4 linked regions of the Caenorhabditis elegans genome follow. The protein of the gene in region 1 interacts with the protein of each later gene in a pairwise test. Each region holds a gene or a part of one and is shown in the gene's direction. Other genes may lie near its edges.

Region 1 (5,028 bases):
TACCCGCGACGTTTTTTTTGTTTGAAGAACCACTAAACATAAATATGCCCTAGCGTTAAGGAAGTCTATCAAAACTATCAATACTATAGTATACTGTAGTTACAAGGATATTGAAACAGTTAAAGATTTACATCACTAAAACTAATTTCATATCACTTTTGCAGTATCTTGTTTCAACTTAGTATTTATGATTTCTCATTTTTATTATTTAGACTGGTAAGCAGAGAGAAAAAAGCTGGGAATTAGGAAAAAGTAACAACATGAGCAGAGGAAGAAGAAGAGCAACAAGAGCATTAGACAGAATTAGTGATGATGTAGAAGGTACAAGATGAAAAATAGCAAAAAAATAAGTAGAGAATAAAATCAAAACTTTTTCATTTTTCGGTTTTTGGACTACTTTAGAAACTGTAAACAGAGGAAACAGTGGTTTTGTTGGACGTTAAAAACATTTGAATATTTCACATTTAAAATTCCGTTGCAATCAGTTTGAATTTAAAATACATTTAATTTCTAGCTATGTTGAAACTGTGAAATTTTCGGAAAATGCGAAAAAAATGTGACGGATTTTTAAATATTTTATCTAAATCTTCACCGGATAATTTTGGAAATAATACGTTTAGAGGTCGAGCATGATCCCGATTAAAATTAATTAATTGTTAACTGTTTTATGGACTATTTGAAACGTGTTCAATTTGAAAAATGGCATTCATTCTTTCCATCAAACTCATAGTTATTTTTCAGATCTGAAAAAATATCAGAGCCTATTTATCTCGATTGAAAACATTTCTGCCTTTTATAGCTTGATTTTAAGGGTTTGTTGAAACAGTGATATTTTTTTGAAAATAAATGAAAACATTTTCTTGAGTAAGACCTCTCCAGCTATCTTTGGATACTGAATAAATCAGATCTCATACACCAAAAAGCCGATAACTAAAAATATAAATATTATTTCCAGAAGTTTATCACGGAGAATCTTCGATTCCTGACATTAAAATCGAAAGCATTTTCCATTAAAAACTAATATTTTTGCACTCTTCACCTTCTTCCGGCATGTAATCCTATATTACAGACATCCAAGGTAAAAGAGAAAAAACTTGATTTCCTTTTTTCCCTTTTTCTCCAGAAACGTCTTCCAATGTCGTCTTCTTCCTGGACACATTATGCTAATTTATTCGATTTGTGCCATGGTTAATGTATTAGGAAGAAGGAAGAGCATTACGCTATGAACAAAACGCTTTTTTTCGCCACGTGATTTGCGGTTTTGCAGGAGATGGGGGATTCTATTGTTGAAACTAACAAATCCTGAAACTCATAAAATTTTAGTGAATTCATGAATCTGTAAAAATTCTGAATTCTAACAATAATGAAAAGACTTTACAGAGATAAATAAAAACCGAATGAAACATTTAAAATCAGTCAAACAAATGTTTTCTATGAAACAGGAAATTTAATTCTAAAAAAAAAAAAGGATTTTTTTACTCGTACAGTCCAAAGTACTGTAACTGTTCTTAAAATTGACCCCAATTGTAATTTAATATCAATTTGTCCACTATATTTGCTACCTTCTCTTCCAAATCATGAAAGTGACCTCTGACTATATATCACCCCAGTTTGTCACCAACCATCTGGCAAGTAGCGGCAGCCGGCTTATCTGTTATGTCGGAAGATGTGCTTCTTCTCCGACTTGTTAAGATATCTGACACCTAGGATTGTATATTTCCCCCAAATGACCTTCGACAGTACCCGAGAAGTTATAAACAATTTGTGCTCCACCCAAAGTTTGGAATAGAAAATCCTATAGTCACTTTCTGACACTCTCTGACTTTATTCCTCCCAGCTTCCAAATTACAAAATGGAAAAATGCGATATTTGTCACCAGAAGTTTTCCAATAAGGTGAGTGGAGAGTACTAAAGGTTATAGGTAGAAACTAAAGTGCCTACCAGGTTACTTATGGTTTCGTAAACTACTTTCTTGTTTGGCTCTTGAAAAACTGAGACGCAAGACTCAAATCTTTAGAAAATTTCTTTTTAATTATCAATTTACAACATTGTTCAAATCGAAAAGCAACAAAAAACAAGTTACTAAAATCGTAGAAAAATTTTGATTTCCATGTATATTTTTTCAGACAAACTTGAATCGTCATAAGGTGATGCACAGTGGAAAAAAGAAGTTTGAATGTCAGTTCTGCAGAAGACCTTTTTTTCGGAATGATCGGGTTAGTTCTTGTGGTTTTCCGATAAATTTGTATAGAGGATATTTTATTGAAGTTTCTTTATAAAGTTTAGTCGTTTTAGTACAAGCTTTATCTCTAGTGACCAAAAAAATTCACTAAGTAACCTACTTTACGAAAGTTAATTACTTGAAATTATTCCAAACGCTTACAAATAACTCGATTTTTTTGTCGAAACGTTAAAAAAAATGCTAGAAAAAAGCTTCCTAAAAGTTGACTCAATTTATCACTCGTACATCAGATTTAAAGCAGAATGAAACAATCTGTGTTATTGATTTTCAGAAATTGACACAAAAATTTTAATTATGTGTTTCATGATGTTTTTAATAATCACTGAATGCAATTTACGATTACTGGTATCTGTGATTTGCGAATCTGTTCAAAAATAAATGTTTAATGCCAAAGCACTAAAAAATTAAAAGAGAATTAGCACCCAGCATGCCAAATGATGTAGGGGAATTATTTTTCTGTGGATGTGTACTGATACGTTGGCTTTAATTTACTGTTAGCTAGAGAAAATTTAAAAGCTTTGTTTTAAATATTTTTATTGAAAACAAAGTTAAGATTGTTAAAAGTCGTTTACTTTTTCCAGATCTGACCATCAGTTTTTTATATGAAAGTTTCAGTTATGCAAGAAAAGTTGTATTTTCAAATATACTTTGAGAAAGATCGAGCTTTCTAGTAGTATAAAGCATTAAGCATTATTTCTTGAAACATTAAACAGATTAGAAAACAATCTCTTCAACTTTTAATCCAACTCAGATGAAAGAGCACATGATGACCCATATCAAGAAAGGAAATACCTTTGAATGTCCCATCACAGCGTGCAATTCAAAGTTCAACAGCTTCACGAGTTTGCAGTTTCATGTAGATTCGGAGCATATCATAAGAGGATCGTCTCCAGCTAAATGTAAATCTTGCATCAAATGGTTCAACAGTTCCCATCGTCTTCTGCTTCATTTTCATACTGCACACCTGGATCATACGGTGAGTACTTTTTTCTGTGGAAGAATTGAAGCACACACTGTTTTTATTTGGATTTTACATCAGCTACTTGCTTACGAGTAGGTTATAGCTGTGATGTGTTAAGTTTAGCCTACGTTTGATCCGATTCTTGCCGAATGTTGACTAAACTTTTCATTTGAGACTAAAAGTAAAATTTTGAAAACCGTTGGGTCTTGCAATCGAAAATACTTGAAAGCTTCAAAACATTAGAAAAATTGATCTAAAATAGAATTCACTATACTCGAACTTCTCCACATAATTGAATTGAATTTCAAAATACTTTTTCGCTATTTCTACAAAATCTCTACTAAAGTCAGACGTGCACTATGTATAGATTGGATTTTGGTAGATATATATAAATCTCCTTAGTTTTCAGAAATTCTTCTCTTTCAAACCTGCTCCAATTCTTCCAAAATCCACTACTTCAATCTTGAACCCCATCAAGAATCCAGATGATTTTGATAGAATCTTTGACTTTTTCAAAACTGAAATCGCACCACTCTTTGTAAGAAATTTGAAATTGAATTTTCAACTGGTAACATAATATTTTCAGCCGCTTCATAGCACTGTTTCACAAGCCCCATTGCCACAGTGCTCTAGATCTGTAAAATCCGCAAAAGAGTTGTCTCCAACACCATCTACGGAAATCGAAACTCCCGAAGAAGAAGAGTTGGATGGTCCAGAGAGCTGGGTATGTACCTCTGGGAAAAAACGTATTTTGTAAAAAAACAATTATTTCAGTACTGCGATTACTGTAAAATCAGATTCGATGACAAAGTGATGTGGTATTTGCACAGTGGACTCCACTCAGATGATATTCCGTTCAAATGCTCACTTTGTGGAAGCCTATGCGATGGAAAATATGATTTTGCTGCTCATCTCGTTTACGCCAATCATAACTTCTAAAATATAAAAATGTCGATTCTTTTTCAAAGTTATAGCATGGTTCAATTTATTGTTAAGTACCAGCATCAATCTTATCAATAATGTTCCTCATCTTCTGTTGGGATGTTTTAAAATACTTAACTCTGTTCTTGTGTGAATTAATTGTTACATTTGTTTCTGTTAATTGTTTTATATATTTGAAAGTTAGAAATATGATTTTCTCAATTATGGTAGTTGATTTTATTTCTGAAAACTTCAAAAGATTTACTAAAAATTATTGATATGCGAATTTTGCAAAAGTTATGCTGATTATTTTTATCTTCAGGAGAGCAGTTTTAAGGAGGAAATGCCAAGAGTTTTAGATTAAGAAATTTCAAATTTCTACCAACAGATTTTAAAACATTACTCCTGATTTTAGGACAATGAAGATTTTCGCATTTTAAAAGCCTAATTAAAAAAAAACGGCGAGATCAATTTTTCTAGTATAAAATGCTCCTCTGAAGATAATTTTCACAAAGTGTCCAATTAAAAAAGTCATCTCTAGGAGTGATAACACTTTGAATTTCCGAGATTTATTGAAAACTTTATTACATCTCCAACATTAATAATAAAACAAATTAAGAAAAAAGTATTTTACAGTTTTCTAAAGTTTGATGTATTTATAGAGTTTTGCTCTTGAAATATTATTCACAATTTTGCCTCTTTTATAAAAATATCAACAAAAAAATTCTCAAAATTCTCAAGCTAATATCCCATCTGAGACATGAAAAAAGTGATCTTAAGCACGATTCGATTGTCTCCAAACCCTTTGTTCATCATTTTCGTTCAATTATAATAGTACACATACAGTAGGAGGTAGTGGCGAAATAAGGCAATCGAGAGGAAGGATCACAAGTGTGCAAACGAT
Region 2 (4,743 bases), on another chromosome or scaffold:
GGGACCTCAATGCGATTTTTCATTAAATTGATATCTGTGTTCTTATCAATGAAAAAAGTTCTTGCGTTCTCAGCCGCCACTATTATCTCACCCTTATCACTTTTTTCCTGATAGATATCAAAAACGACTTTTATGACACTTTTCTCCCGTTACTTGTTAATTAATTTGATATATCGCTGGTATTTGAATTCAGTTTTTTGAACTTTATATTAAATTTGGAAATTTTTAATTGCCGGTAAAAGAGAGTACGGTAGTTGGAAAGTTTTTTTTTCGCTCGTGCCAGGACCCATGGCCGTAATTTTAGGAGAAAAATCACAAAAAGATTGAGAAAACTAGGCCACTCATTAAAAATAAGAATTTTAAGATTTACTGTAACTTAATTTAGTTTTTCTCGCAAAAATATGATAGCCACATTTTTGAGTTCATCGAAAGTTTCAGAGTATCATCTAAATTCCAAGAAAAAACCACTTCGGCACAGTAATACCTGCCTGCATCTAAGACAACCTTCGCCTGCCTTGTGCCTGAATACGTGCCTATTGCCTACCTTGCCTGCTCAGATACATAATGCCAAAGTTCATTCCAACAAGAAGAAGGCGCTAGGCGGCGGCTTGTAGGCATGTAGGCATGTAGACAGGAAAACGCGCCTTTGGAACTTGTTTTCTTTTTTTTTCAGTTTTTTTTTTTGAAAGTTCGTTCTCAAAAAAAAAGCAGAAAAAGAAGAAAACTTCGAAACCCCTTCCCTGAACGATTACGCAATAATCCCCCTCTCTTCCTTTTTCAAAACGGTCTTCATGTCTGCCTACCGTAATCCTCTTGTAGTCACGGCCAACCTGCCTTCTAATCGCCACAAGCTCATCCGTTGCTAAACGTTCCCCCATCTTGGCATTGGGCAACTGTTTCTTCTTCTGGTGCCATACACAATTGTTTTGTTGTTCCTCTCTTTCCAATTGATGCTTCTTCTTCTTCTCTCTAGAAACCGCTTCTCAAGTGCGCCAAGTGCTCATCCGTTTCACCAACACACAAAAGGGAAGAAGGGGGAACTGTAACCGTCTACTAGTTGCCTAATATACTTGTGTCATATATCCTTACAATTATATTAATATATCTACATGTAAGAAGAAGTTTCATGTCCCTTCTTGCATCATTTTTATATTTTCTGGCAATTTGCAGAAATTATTTTGGGGGATTTTTAAAAATTTTCAACAAAAATAAAAATAGTTTTTCAAGTGAACCAAATATTTATCTATGTTTCTAGCTCAAATTTTGAAACAATTCGATTAGGTAATTTTTCTCTCAGATATTTCAGTTTTCCAGCCAAAAACTGAAGATTTTTCTGTCTTACTGAAATTTCCTGTTATAAATGCAACTTTTTCAAAACTATATGCACAAAAAACACAAAAAAATATTTAAAAAAATACAAAATATTTTTTTCGGATTTTTTTTATTGTTGAACTAAAAATGGTTTTGGGAGAGTTTCGTGAAAATTACCCAACTTTTTTTTGTGGTTTAGGTCTAGGCTTAGACTTAAGCTTAGGCTTAAGATTAGGCTCAAGCTAGGGCTTAGGCTCAGGCTTTGCTTTAGGCTCAGTCTTCCAGCGTAGGCTTCAGCTTAGGCATAAGCTTTGGCTTAAGCCTAGGCTTCGGCTTGTGGGAACGCTCAATAGTTTTGTGTACCTCTCCCCTAAACCATCCCAGAAAAATCCTAAATTTCACTTTCGGTTTCATGATTATCCTCTCCCTACCGTGATTTTGTGCTCTCGGAGCCAACACCTCCATATTCCAATTATTCCCGACATCCGAGACATTGTACCTATTATTATCTGGCGCCGAGTATTTGAAATAATTGCCGGATTGGATTTCTTCGGTGATAACACACCCCGCCCCGACTCGGACGCTTCCGCTTGTTGTTCCTTGTTTGGAAAAAATTCCACAAAATCATCACAAAAATTTTCAGCTCTGCTCAATTTCAGATGGATTCACGGGTATGGCTGCCGCTGATTGGAGCGCATTTGCTGCCTCGAGACATTAGTGTTATTACTCAGGTATTTGAGTCTTGATTTCAAAAAAAAAACTTGAAAGTGTGAATTCAGATGATTGCAAATAATAATAATACATCAATTTCGAGAAGTAGCACCAATAGCAGCAAACCCGAAGAGAAGAATTCGAAAAAGGTAGGAATGGAAAGTTGGTGGCCTAGAAAATTAGAAATCTCGGCCATCTTGAAATTTTTATCTAATATTTTTTGTTCTGAAACCGCCTGAAATTATCTTTTTCGTTTTGAACCGCGTAGCCTAGATAGACACATTGGCAGGCACAATACTTATCTACGATGAAAGGAACATTTTCAGTTTCTCATTGAACGATTTCTCGATGATGATCCTTCACCACCAGCATCGATTCTTTCGCCATCACCCAAGGCAGCCATACCCAGTGTAAGACGCTAATCAAGGAAAATTCTAAATTTTTTTTTTCTGATTTTCAGCCAATTATAAATCCAGCAGTGGAGTTTGTAAACGGAGGCTACGGAGTCAAAAACCCCCTGGCTCCGTTGATCAGCTCCTTCGAAACCACCTCAATTCCGTGTTCAACAGTATCTCCTTCATCCCTCATCTCCTCCAGCAAAGACGAGTTCCAAGATTCATTAACCTGTCACATTTGCGGCAAAAAGTTCGGTTTACAACGTCTTCTGAACCGTCACATAAAGTGTCATAGTGACCTGAAACGGTATCTATGCACATTTTGTGGAAAGGGTTTCAACGATACATTCGACTTAAAAAGGCATACCAGAACACATACAGGTACCTCTCAACACTTTAAAGTACTCCTCTACCTCTGCCACCAATTCATAACCACTAATTTGTCGTTCTTCTTACCCTCCGTTGACTTACGGTTGGAAGACAATTGTCTGCGTCTGTTTGTCTAGCACACTGCTTTTTTGTGGGGTGTCATTGAATCCATTGTAGCGAAGCGTAATATTCCACACATTTTCACCGCAAATTGTCGACGATTCTAACTTGATTTACGGTGGAAAATCAAGGGGACCACATTAAAATTGAAACCGACAACACGTTCTGCTCATTTTAATGTATTTCTAAAAAGTTATTTGAATAGAAAATTGTTTAATAATAAATTCAAAAATAAGCAGACAAAGGCAGGCGTGCCTATCTACCTATGACCTTCTGTATTCCAGGCGTCCGTCCCTACAAATGTGAGCAATGCGAGAAGTCGTTCACTCAACGATGCTCCTTGGAATCCCATTTACGGAAAGTTCACGGTGTCACTCATCAATATGCCTACAAAGAGCGTCGTAGTAAGGTGAGTTGACAGAAAGGTATGCATGTCTGCCTACGCCTGCGTGCCTACTCTCAAAGTAGACTCAAACAATAGACAAAATAGAAATAGAAAATAGGCATGTAGGCATGTAGACATGTAGGCATGTAGACATGTAGGCATGTAGGCATGAAGGTACGTAGGCATGTAGGCATGTAGGCATGTAGGCATGTAGGCATGTAGGCATGTAGGCATGTAGGCATGTAGGCATGTAGGCATGTAGGCATGTAGGCATGTAGGCATGTAGGCATCTAGGCATCTAGGCATCTAGGCACACACCGACCGACAATAACTTCTACATTTCCAGGTATTCGTCTGTGAAGATTGTGGTTATACGGACGAAAAGTTCGAAGTCTATCTATCTCACATCAAGGTAGTACACCCCTTCTCGGCCGCCTACCTTCGGTTTACACAGCTTCAGAAAAAGAACTCATCGATGAAACCCGAACAACTTTCCAAGATCTCCCTATAATACTCACCTTTTTTCCTATTTAATTTTTAATTTTTTTTAGAAATTAGCTATTTTCCAAAAATCCTCCAAATCATCGTCATTTCCCCATTTGTTGGTGATCCTTTTTGCACCCCCGTGACTGATTTATTAACCCCAATGACACTATTTTCTCTCCGTCCAAGACCCTTTTCACCCATTTCTGTCTTCTAGATGATTCCATGATGTATTTAACTTATACCAATGACAACAAATTTTCCCAAAAAATGACACATTTTATTGAAATAAAAAAGTTTCTCCTTTTTTTATTCTTAAAAAATGTGTTGAAATCAATGACTTCCATTGTGACGTGGAATTTCTACGACGTATTTTGAGAGCCACTCGGCAATAAATCCAATAGGGTCGGCAGGACGGCGAAGTAGAACCTGAAAAAAAATAAATGCTTAAAATTGCAGCGGACATTTAACGGGTTCAGCATAATCTCTGAAGCGTGCGCGCGAAGTGTCGGCCGCTTTACTAAAGCCTTATGATGTCGGCTGCCAAACACGTTTTCTAGTTGGCACTTAAAATTTGTCAGTTTCTCGAGTAGTCGACATCTCATGGTTTTGTTATAACCCTAATCCTTATTTCCCGCTAGTGAGGTGCCGGCAGTTATACTAAGATGTTTTGAAATTTTGCTGTCAATAAAAAAGAAAGCGGCCGACATCTCCCTGCTTCAAATCCTAGCCCTAACCCATGAAGAGTCGGCTGCTGTACATGAGTGCTGACTTAAAATTTACTGGCGGCCATAAAAATAGAAGCGCCCGACGTCGGCCGGTTATGCTGAACACCTAATGGCTGATCCGTGAGGAGTCGGCTGCTTTGAAAAGTGTCATTCGTACTGGCAAAGAACGTGAAAGCGGCCGACATATCCCGGGTCACCTCTAAATCGTCGGCTGCTATGGCCGACACAACTACGAAACACG
Region 3 (5,077 bases), on another chromosome or scaffold:
CACTGCTTGTTGCTGTCGTCTTTCCGAACACAGCAGTTCCGATCAATGTAATCAACCAAACGAGACGACCTTCGGCAATCGCTGTATTGGCATCCTGTAAATACAAATTATAAGTTTCAAAAAAAAACAACTAAGTGTCTTACATTTTCAGATCCATTCATCCAGATGTTGGCATTTTGATCAAAGTGTTGAGTGAGAAGTTTACATGTGTTTTCATATTCGCATCTACATATAATCGCAAGATGTTCCATAACTTGAAGGGTTGCTCCTTGATCATCTAATGGATTCTCAGCTCCTTCTCTGACAATGCTCTCAACGTGTTGTAATCGACTCTCGACGAATGCTGTCATGATTTCTGGACAATAAACGTTGAGAAGATGCTCATCATTATTTCGAACATATGGAACAGACGTCACCATTCTCTGCCAGAATGTCATAAGAAAATATGTACTGTTGGCTGAGAACTCCATCATTCGTAGGCTTTGTACAGTGAATTCCGCGAGTAACCTTAGCATGTGACTGTAGCAGGGAACAGCGATGAGCTCGCACAGCTGATAATTTGTTTTCAGACGAGCAATCAAACGGCAAAACTCGTGGAATGCGGCCTAAATCAGGTATATAAATATGTTTGCCTTTAATTTTTCATTATTCTTACCTGGTCACTAAGCTTCCCAGGGTTCATAATTACACTGACAACTCCTTCAACAAGTTTTTGAACGTAAGCCTGTCGCTCTGTTCCATTGAAAAGCGTTCTTCGAATACTTGCCAATTGAGCTATTATTGTCATCACTTTTTCACTTGATTCTTGTGGAAGCACATTTAAAAGTTTGAACATAAGCTGTACAATTTTTCCATCAGTAAAACTTGCTCTCCATGCTGTTGGGATTTGCACATTACAGTTGTCTTCACTTGTTTCGTCTGTCAAACTTCCTATATAATCAAAAAGTAGACATTGGAGATTCAAGTTGAGAACCGCGTGAAGAAGACCCAATTGGCGATCGTTCAGATTTCTGTCCACATTATCGTTCAAAACATTCAGAGATACCGAGAAAATCTCATATAAAAAATCGTCCCTGAACTGCGAAAGATTCTTGCGATGTTTGTTAACTGAATCCATTCCCGAAGCTGAATTCATGTCAGCAACGAGTAAGGTTAACAGTTGCACGGCCAGCATACTTTCCTCGATATTATCCATGTTGATTGTTTTGACAAGGCTATCAACCGGATCACGAAATGGATATTCAATTTTTGTGTCTTCTGTTTGATTTTCTGTGGGATTTTGATACGTCCATTCTTGTTTCGTGAGTCTTGCAAAAAGTTGGCAAAGTGATGTGACGAGATATGGAGGAAATTGAGGTGCACCTTGACCTAGCATTTCCAATAAATATTTTGCAAGCTCGAGCTTCTGAACAGAAGTGATGCTAGTTTTTCCGCCGAGAAGTTTCATTAGTGTGGTGCTTGCTACCATTGGTCCGTATGGGTACTGAAAATCATTATGTAAATTGTTTAACACTTTTATTATTTCGACTTACATCTCCTCGTGCAAAGAGAAGCATGCATCTTTGAAGGCATTCGGGTGACTCTGACAGTTCCGCAAGGTTACTCTCGGCTCGGTGTCGGGCTTGCGGATCGACACTCTCATATAGATCTTTGCATAGACTGTTTAGTACCTAAAATAAGATTAGAATGCACATTAAGAATTTTGAAAATGCTAACCGGTAATTCATCCATTTTTGAAGACTTCGAATCCGCTGTTCAGCGATTCACTCCTAAAATATCCAATTCAGAAGTAATTATAGCTTGAGAAAGAGGAGAAAAATGTTTTGAAAAGCAAAAAGAATGTTTAAAACGGATAAAATTAATTCGGCGTCTTCCCACCGTTAATTGTTTCGAAAAACTGCAAACTTTGGTGATGATTTGAGTTTCTGAAAGACGAAACATCTTGTCCTGGTGAAGTACACGGCGGATGGCCGATAAAAAAGTTAGGCCATCCTTTCTCATCCTACTCTACATCCCACAGGCTCTCTCGCCACAATTGGCATCTTTTGGCAGTTTCCACTATTTTCAGAATTCGTTATCTGTTTTCTGATAACAAAAACAAGAAAAACAGAATCTTTACGACTACTTCTTTATTTATCCGCTCTAACCACTCATTCTACGCAGATTTTGAATGGCAGAGCGGTGAGTTTTGAAATTTAATCTGTAGTACAACATGCAGTTGGAAATGCCAAAAATATCAATAATTTCAGAGATAAAGATGAAATCTTTAGTTTAAAAAGTTATCAACGTCCAATTGTCTATCATTCTGAATATAATGTAACTGCATTTGGAATCGAACATTTACATCCATTTGATTCTTCGAAATGGAGAAGAGTCATTACACATTTGAAAGAAATGAATCTGATCACTGATGAAACACTCGTTGAGCCAAATCTACCGACATTTGAAGAACTCACTAGAGTACATGATAGAAAGTAGGCACATGAAAGTGTTGTGAATGTGATTGAATCGTGGAATTGGTTTATGAAAAAATCATGTTTGTATGGCCCCATACTTAAATTGAAAGAAAATAATTAAGCTCATAACGTTTATAGTTGACATTCTAAAAAAAAGTTAGATGAGGCGTTCAACAATTTCAACTAATAAAAAAAATTTATTCATATTATTTTAGATATCTGAAAAGTGTTCGAAATCCTATTAAAGCAGCACAAATCGTCGAGATTCCATTTGTCGGTTGCCTTCCACCGTGCATTATTGAAAGCAAGTTATTGCATCCACTACGGTATCATTCCTAGTAATTGTTGTATTCATTTATTTGTGTTTTCCAGTTTACAAGCCGGTGGAACAGTTTTAGCTGCCAATTTGGCTCTAAAACATGGTTGGGCGATCAACGTGGGTGGTGGTTTCCATCATGCTTCTCGTATGTTTTTGTTATTCCGCAAGAAAAATAGACGCTATGGGATTGTACAGCAGCCTATAATTTCAGATTCGGGCGGAGGTGGATTCTGTTTTTACGCTGATATCACCATGGCAATTTTCGATTTGTTTGACAAAAAGGCAATTGCCAACGCGATTGTTGTAGATTTAGATGCTCATCAGGTACTGGAAAAAACATTTGAAAGAATATAAAATACCGTATATTTTCTATTGATGCGTGCGGCACCTTCACTGCTCAACTTTGACAGCATATAACTCAAAGGAACACGTGTAGTCAGAAAATCCCATTCCGCTTTGATCTTCGAAAAATGCGGGAGTTGAGACGCAGACATCTCATTTGATTTGGAATGGTTAAGAACGTGCTGACGTCACAATTTTTCTGGGAAAAAGTCCCGCATGTTTTGTAGATCAAACCGCAATGAGACAGTCTGACATCACATGAAGGAAGTATTTTGCCTAAAATCATAGATGGCCGATATCTGAGCTTTCAAAGTTAGAATTGTCCTCAAATTTTAGCTACCTTACAGTTACGTTAAGAATTCTATAGACTACGGTATCATTTTGGAAAACCATTTGGAACGTGAATGAAATATGTCTAGCCCGTAAAGATATTTCTCAAATATTAGATATTAATTCGAAATATTAATCACAATATTAATTGTTTAAAAAAATTATTAAAATTTAAGAATCCAATTTTTTGCTTGAATCATACTTTAAGGGAAATGGCCATGCACGAGACTTTGCTGACAATCCGAATGTGTTTGTATTTGATGTTTTCAATCCATATGTCTATCCACATGATCGTGAAGCTCGTCAATTTATTAACAGAGCGGTTCATGTAAATGGTCATACGACTGATACTTCCTACCTCTCGTAAGTATTCATAGCGGCTTTCTGCTTTCACTGACCGACTTTATTTAGCGAATTACGCAAACAACTGGCACAGTGTTTAATTGATAGAGAGAAAACTACTCCTCCTGGTTTCGATTTCATTATGTTCAACGCTGGCACAGACTGTCTACTTGGTGATCCTCTGGGAGCAATGAAATTGAGTCCACAGGTGTGTGAAAGCAAGGAATATTGTTATACGAGTTTGGTATTTGGTGTATAGTCTATTTTGAAATAAGATGTTGCATATTTTTTTGAAAATCAAATTTTCAGTGCATAATTGCTCGAGACGAAGTTGTGTTCAATCTAGCAAAATCAAAAGGAATTCCAATTTGCATGGTAACCAGTGGAGGGTATCAGAAGGACAACGCGCTTCTCATTGCAAAATCAATTGAAAATCTCCAGTCAAAGAATCTCATCAGTATCAAATAAAAAAGTTATATCAGCATATCTTTTCCTTATAAATTATTTTTTATTAAACTATTTTTTATTGTTTAATGGCAGGGGAAACTAAATAGATAGAAGGATCAAGTTCAAAATTTCATTTTAAAATCGAATGGATGATTTTGAAACATTCTATATCAACCCGATTCCATTAAAAATAAAACAATCCAAAATAATACAAAGTACTCTGAATATGAACTTTTCCTAAAACTTTCAATTTTTATGAATCCTCGACTCCTCCCAAATTTTCACTTTATGTGGATGTCACTAGGTCATCATCGGGTAAAGGGTCACACAGAGAGACACAGTCATTTCTCGCCTATATCTTTTATTTGATTCTTCTGTCGATTGCGACATGATTTGCTTCCGTACAGCTTTCATTTTAATTCTTGGAGTAGTGATAGGCACGACAGCAAAACGACACAATGTTCGAAGGCATGTCAATGGTAAATGGACTGATAAACATTGTGAAGAACCACCTAGTTTGGTTAGTTTTTGTTTTTTTAATTGAGAGTAAATAGTTTCACTAGCATGTTCTGGATATTGTTAGATATTTTTACATAGATTTATTCAATAAGTGTGTAAATATGCGTGAAAAATGGATGAAAGTATAACCCAAGTGTAAGTTTAGGAAAATCTCGAAAATCGGCCAAAAAGTCATATAGATATTCATGTTTATCCCCCATCAGTCTAAAATGACCAAATATAAAAATTGAAGTTTACAGAAAATTGTTAAACTTTAAAAAAAATTCAATTAACTTCTTGGTAAATTGCCAAATTTTCAACACAAACAAGAACTGGACTATTT
Region 4 (5,340 bases), on another chromosome or scaffold:
GGAAGTACTTCCTCCGATAGGAAGAGATAAATCGGTGGATCGTCATAGGTCGCTGAACGTATTTCTTATGGTTATATCGAAGGAAGAATACCATAAGCATAGGACTTCCTCCAATTATGCCCACAACACTCGGAGGACTGGAGGAACTCCTGCTTATGATGATCTTCCGTGTTTCAATCAGATCTCGAGGAAGAAAACATCCTACAGCCACCAGGTTCCGGAAATCGATGTAGAGCTCAACAGTTCTTCCACATCAGCTCTTCCAATTAAAGAAGAGGTTACTACAAGGAGCCCTGCACCAAATATGGGTTTTTGCGAAGTACGCCAGCTCCCAAAAGACTCCAGAGGGCCTCAGAGAGATGGCTCCTCATCTCCTGATGTTCAGTTCATCAAGACTGTGACTATGTCACGGTTAGAGAATGTTGTTCCTACCAGCTCACGTGGAAAGGCGCCAGAAGATTCATCTGCACCAGCACGTCTAGGATTCCTCTCCGATCGTGCGGTCTCCGGGTCATCAATCCCAGCCGTCGAGGAAAGATCTGGAGAAGGCAGCTTCGACTTTACAGGTCCTTCCACTCCTCGCTTGGCCCAGCCAGCTTTTGGGAACTTTTTTGGGAATAGGGCGAGTTCTTCGTCTTTCGGTGCACCATTGTCAACTCTAGCTGTGGACAAGCTGATTCCGGAACCTCATCTCTCCGGAAGCAAAGCGGTCCCAGACCATCGTTTCGATTTCAAACATTTCAGACGTCTCCGAGCAGCGGGAGGAGGGCCCCTCAAGGCGATCGCCGATGTCTCCATCTAATCAACGGGGACGTGGAGCAGGACACCAGCCACGTAACAGGGAACATACACCGAAATCGCCATTGAGAAACCAGAGGGTGAGTAATTTGCAAAATGACCTAGTTTATTCCTCGATCATGCGAAAAAACCAACTAAATCTATCTGTAAATTTCACAGCGTGGTCGCCGAAGCCCCTCGACAGATGAGTGGACCCCCAGACGTTCAGAGCATCACCATCGTCGTGACTATAGAAGAAGAAAGCGGGATTATTCAAGAGATCGCTCACGCCATCACGGAGATCGTTATTAAATTCCATGTTGCATCTCAATTTCTTTTTCTTCGATTTCTCGAGTATTGAGCCTTTATTCACATTCCTTCTCGTATGTTCATAATAAATATTCTATCTACGTTAAAAGTAAAATATTCTATCTACGTAAATCTCCTTGTCTAACGCTCAATACACAACACAAAACATTCGCCTATTTCTTAGACTCGTAAAACTTCCTGATTTCCTTATGAATTTGCATGATCAACGTGCTGCTGTTTCACTATGAACATTTTCTACTCGTATGTTATCCGAACGGCTTTTATCAATTTAAAGATTAAACTCCAATATTTGAATGGAAATGAAGATGTGATGGCAATGATCTATTCATTACTTCTTCTTCTGTCTCGTTAAGAAACAAGATTTCAGCCGTTGCAAAGAATTATATTTATTAAACCCTCAATTCAAATTTCGCGCTCTTTCGAAGACGGGATATCGGAGTGTCGTTGTTTATTTTCAATTTTATTTTTTATTCGCAAAAAATCAATATTTGACTTTTTCTTCTATTTAAAACAGTTTTTGTTGAATTTTTCCTTTCATATAAATATTATTAATCTTTAAAATTTTTATGTTTATATGATTAAATCTTCCTTATTGCCATTAATTGTGTATTTTTCCAGATCCTAAAATTCGATAAACAACCAAAATGAAGAATAACGAGGATTTAGACGAAGTAGTACATTTATCGCAAGTAAAATAACTAATTTCAATTTAGTTTTCCAATTTTCATTAAGAAAATCAAAAATTTTCAGAATTCCGATGCAATTTTCGAGGAATGGGCAGCTGAGTGCACTCCCGACGCGCAAAAAGAGCACGAAGAGCTCGAGGAGATTGTCAAGATTCCAGATTCGACATACAGAAAAAAGTATGAAATTTTTGTGCTAAAAATTTATTAAATATAAAATTGAAGGAAAGGAAATCAAAAGTTGCCGACGGTGACGACGTGCGAAGTATGTGGAGTTGCGTTGAAATATCCATCGAGGATTATGGTACAGAATATTTTATTTTTATAACAAAATGAAGATTTTTATTTGTTCAGGAACACATGAGAACTCACACAGGCGAAAAACCATACGAATGTGACATTTGTGGAATGAGATTCACTCAAAGAACTCCAATGATTAACCATTTTCGTGTTCAACACATGGGTGATCTCCCATTTCTGTGTAATTTCGGTTGTGGCAAACGATTTGTGAATAATTCACGCAGAACTGCACACGAATTAAGCCATAATGGATTGGTAAGAAAAGTTTTTATGCTATAGAAAAATTTAAAACATCGAATCAAGCATTTATATCCTAAAAGATTACCGGAATAAGATATATTTTTTGCAGAAGCGAGCAGGACCGGCACGGCCTTATCTGAAACCAGTTAAAAAGATTGTTTGTCCATCAATGGATATGGATATACTTTCAAATTCTGCACTAGCTAATTATATATCACCACCAACGATGTAAGTATATGCAGAAGTGAACTAAACTTGATAAAATAAATAAAAATTACAACAAAAAACAAGAATTATAAGATTTTACATTTTTTAAAAAGTGAATTGCGGTGTTTAATCAGCAATCTTTAAAATTGAGATTTTAACACTTTTTGTTCTTTAACAAATTTTAAAACAACATTTAAAAAATCGGTGTTTTAATTAATAAAAAACTTTGATAATTTAAATAAAACTCCTGAAAATTTCTAAATTCGAAAACTTCCATCTTATTTCCGAATTGGTAAATTTAAAAGAAATTAAAATAACTTTGCAGAGACTCAATATTTCAAAGTGATCCATCAACTTCTTCCTCTTCACCTTCTCAATTTCAATCATCAAATCAAACAACAAAACAATCTATATATCCATCAGAAAAAGAAATGGAAAAAGCTGCAATATCTAATGCTCGAATTGATGACGTTATTAATACAGTATTGGCTCGAGTTTTGGCTCCGATTGATGAAGAAATTCCGATCGAAGAACCAGAAAAAGCTCCTCAGAAAAGAGCATATATTTCAAATCGAAGAGCAACACTTGCACAATGCAATATTTGTGGATTAATGCTTAAACATCCGAGCAAAATTGCTGTTAGTTTTTTTTTCGATAAAAAACGAATTTTGGTGAAAAATGAAAAATTAAAATTATTTCAGTGCCCACAAGCTGAATTTTTGCTGAAAAATTGAGAATTGGACAGAGAAACAATTTTTTCGATAAAAAGCATTCGAAACTTGATTTTCTGAGCAAACAGAAAAAAATATTTGTAATTAAAATTTTTTAAATCAAAGCTTATAGGTTTAAATGTGTTAAAAAACAAAATTTCCAATTTTCTCTCTATTTATAAACCTCTCAAGTTCTGAAATTTCTAGAAAAATATAATATGATTTATTATATCGAAAATTGTTGAATTTTCTAAACTTTGAAATCAAAAATTACAATTTTTAATAAAAAAAAGAAAGATAAATTTATTTTTAAATACAAATTTCTTTCCCATTTTTCAGGATCATATCCGAACACACACAGGCGAAAAACCATTTGAATGTGGAGAATGTGGCTTGTCATTGTCAAAAGCGAGCTCTTTAAAAGTACATATTCGTCGAATGCATACTGGAGAACGTCCATTTGAATGTACTTGGAGATGTGGATTGTCTTTTGTAACGGATTCTGTTAGAAAAGAACATGAAATGACTGTACACACTGGTAAATATTCAAAATATATTTTACTATCCGAAATTTGGGTTAAAACCGGGGGTAATTTAGAAAAAGAAAGCAATTTCCATTTTTTTTTGTTGCAAATTTTAGAATTTTCTCAAATTAAGAGTGTTATTGAAAATATGTTAACTCAAAAATATTTAAAAGAGTAGTCATCTACAAAAATTACAATTTTTGAAACATTCCAGGTATAAAACGTTACACATGCGTTGTAAAAGGATGTAATGCAGTATTTGCTCGTCGTGTATATCTCATGAGACATCGAAAAAATGCACATCCCGAGCTCTTCACACCAATTTTCGATCATGTTCAAGTGAATCACGAGGAATCACAGGATTCAGTTATTGTTTATGAAGATGATCATGAACAGAACAATCAGATTATAATGCTCACTGGTGATGGTGATGACGTCAAGATCTTGGCTCATTTTGAAGATGATGAAGAGGAATTTGTGGAGCAAGGAGGAAGCATGGAAGATCAAAAAACTGTTCATTTTTGACCAGAAACTTGAAAAAGCTCTTTCATTTTCCAATATCTAGGCAACTTATAGGGTAACTAGCATTTTCTACTTCATATATTCAGTTTTCTATTCCACCCAGCAATTAGTTTTTAAAATGGAAGAGTTATTCAAATTTCAAATTTCTAGGCCACTATTAAATTTTGCATTTTTTAACCATTTTTTTCATTCAAATTCTAGAAAAATTGTGAGAATTAATTCTCACAATTTTCAGTTTATTTTGGTTAACCTACGAGTTTCTTTTTGCTTCTTTTTTTAATAAAGATTTTTTTTCTCAGATTTTTCAAATTTTTTTTCTTTTCCGTATTCAGTATTTTTACTGTTTAATTATACTTGCTTTTTTTTTATTGTTTGCCAATATATTTTGAAACTTTCTCCTTTCGCAAAAATTGAAAAGATGAGATTTTGAAATTTTTTTTAACATTTTCAAACTTTCAGCAAGCTATTTTTGAGCAGTTCGAAAAAATGTAGCGGTACTTTTTTTTTGAGCCCAATTTTCTATAAAATGTTTTAAAAGGGTTTAGAATGTAAAAAACCAATTAATTGTTTTTTTCAAATTTCACAAAATCCAAAACAAATTTTTTTAGATATACCTTTTTTAATTTGCTAAAAACTTTCTAAAGGTCCAGGAAGGCCCATAAAAAATTAACGTCGAAAAATAAAAATCGATATTTTCAGAAATGGCAGAATCTTGTGTAAAACCTCAACTACCTCGTCCTCGAATTCCAAATATTAGAGTTTTTCAACCAACTACTCGAATTCCCACATTTACATATGAACAATTCAACGAATCCGTCGAAATTCTTCCAAGTCGTCCCGAATGTCTTTATCGTCGAAATGATCCAACAAATCGAAGTTATCGAATGAAAAAACGACCACCGGCACAAATATATCATTGTGTTCAATGCAATAAGCACATAAAATATCCATCAAAAATAACTGAACACATTCGAAAACATACTGGAGAGAAGCCAAATGTTTGTTCAATTTGCAATATAAGTTTCAGTCAAGCACATACATTAAAAA

The links.
Region 2: the proteins of ehn-3 (region 1) and lin-48 interact in a two-hybrid assay, tested with the Caenorhabditis elegans proteins (one large-scale study listed by BioGRID).
Region 3: the proteins of ehn-3 (region 1) and hda-11 interact in a two-hybrid assay, tested with the Caenorhabditis elegans proteins (one large-scale study listed by BioGRID).
Region 4: the proteins of ehn-3 (region 1) and let-391 interact in a two-hybrid assay, tested with the Caenorhabditis elegans proteins (one large-scale study listed by BioGRID).

What each region holds. Positions count from the first base shown.
Region 1 is NC_003282.8:5,416,020-5,421,047, reverse strand, and holds ehn-3 (Zinc finger protein ehn-3), read left to right. Parts: upstream 1-1,825; 5' UTR 1,826-1,852; coding exon 1,853-1,894; intron 1,895-2,126; coding exon 2,127-2,216; intron 2,217-2,585; exon of another isoform or gene 2,586-2,606; intron 2,607-2,879; exon of another isoform or gene 2,880-2,900; intron 2,901-2,993; coding exon 2,994-3,218; intron 3,219-3,561; exon of another isoform or gene 3,562-3,582; intron 3,583-3,612; coding exon 3,613-3,741; intron 3,742-3,789; coding exon 3,790-3,927; intron 3,928-3,977; coding exon 3,978-4,142; 3' UTR 4,143-4,349; downstream 4,350-5,028. UniProt on the Caenorhabditis elegans protein: Together with the zinc finger protein ztf-16, plays a role in gonadogenesis, specifically in somatic gonad precursor cell development. This is possibly by regulating tra-1 gene expression.
Region 2 is NC_003281.10:3,743,491-3,748,233, forward strand, and holds lin-48 (Transcription factor ovo-like homolog lin-48), read left to right. Parts: upstream 1-1,947; 5' UTR 1,948-1,970; coding exon 1,971-2,042; intron 2,043-2,090; coding exon 2,091-2,171; intron 2,172-2,348; coding exon 2,349-2,432; intron 2,433-2,482; coding exon 2,483-2,798; intron 2,799-3,190; coding exon 3,191-3,315; intron 3,316-3,637; coding exon 3,638-3,802; 3' UTR 3,803-4,082; downstream 4,083-4,743. Other genes in the region: arcp-1 (ANK_REP_REGION domain-containing protein), read right to left, coding at 4,108-4,203. UniProt on the Caenorhabditis elegans protein: Transcription factor. Involved in development of the hindgut, the male tail, and the excretory duct cell. Involved in modulating function of excretory duct cells. Plays a role in left/right patterning of cell fates in the hindgut.
Region 3 is NC_003283.11:10,524,140-10,529,216, forward strand, and holds hda-11 (Histone deacetylase 11), read left to right. Parts: upstream 1-2,044; 5' UTR 2,045-2,170; coding exon 2,171-2,181; intron 2,182-2,249; coding exon 2,250-2,474; intron 2,475-2,671; coding exon 2,672-2,782; intron 2,783-2,828; coding exon 2,829-2,920; intron 2,921-2,986; coding exon 2,987-3,099; intron 3,100-3,655; coding exon 3,656-3,810; intron 3,811-3,858; coding exon 3,859-3,997; intron 3,998-4,098; coding exon 4,099-4,257; 3' UTR 4,258-4,305; downstream 4,306-5,077. Other genes in the region: xpo-7 (Exportin-7), read right to left, coding at 1-94, 144-605, 656-1,483, 1,533-1,670, 1,717-1,731; F25D1.3 (Interleukin-17), read left to right, coding at 4,625-4,756.
Region 4 is NC_003279.8:6,036,680-6,042,019, forward strand, and holds let-391 (C2H2-type domain-containing protein), read left to right. Parts: upstream 1-1,723; 5' UTR 1,724-1,751; coding exon 1,752-1,778; intron 1,779-1,857; coding exon 1,858-1,970; intron 1,971-2,015; coding exon 2,016-2,094; intron 2,095-2,144; coding exon 2,145-2,345; intron 2,346-2,439; coding exon 2,440-2,558; intron 2,559-2,862; coding exon 2,863-3,175; intron 3,176-3,586; coding exon 3,587-3,785; intron 3,786-3,985; coding exon 3,986-4,296; 3' UTR 4,297-4,588; downstream 4,589-5,340. Other genes in the region: C27A12.4 (C2H2-type domain-containing protein), read left to right, coding at 1-802; szy-5 (C2H2-type domain-containing protein), read left to right, coding at 4,995-5,340.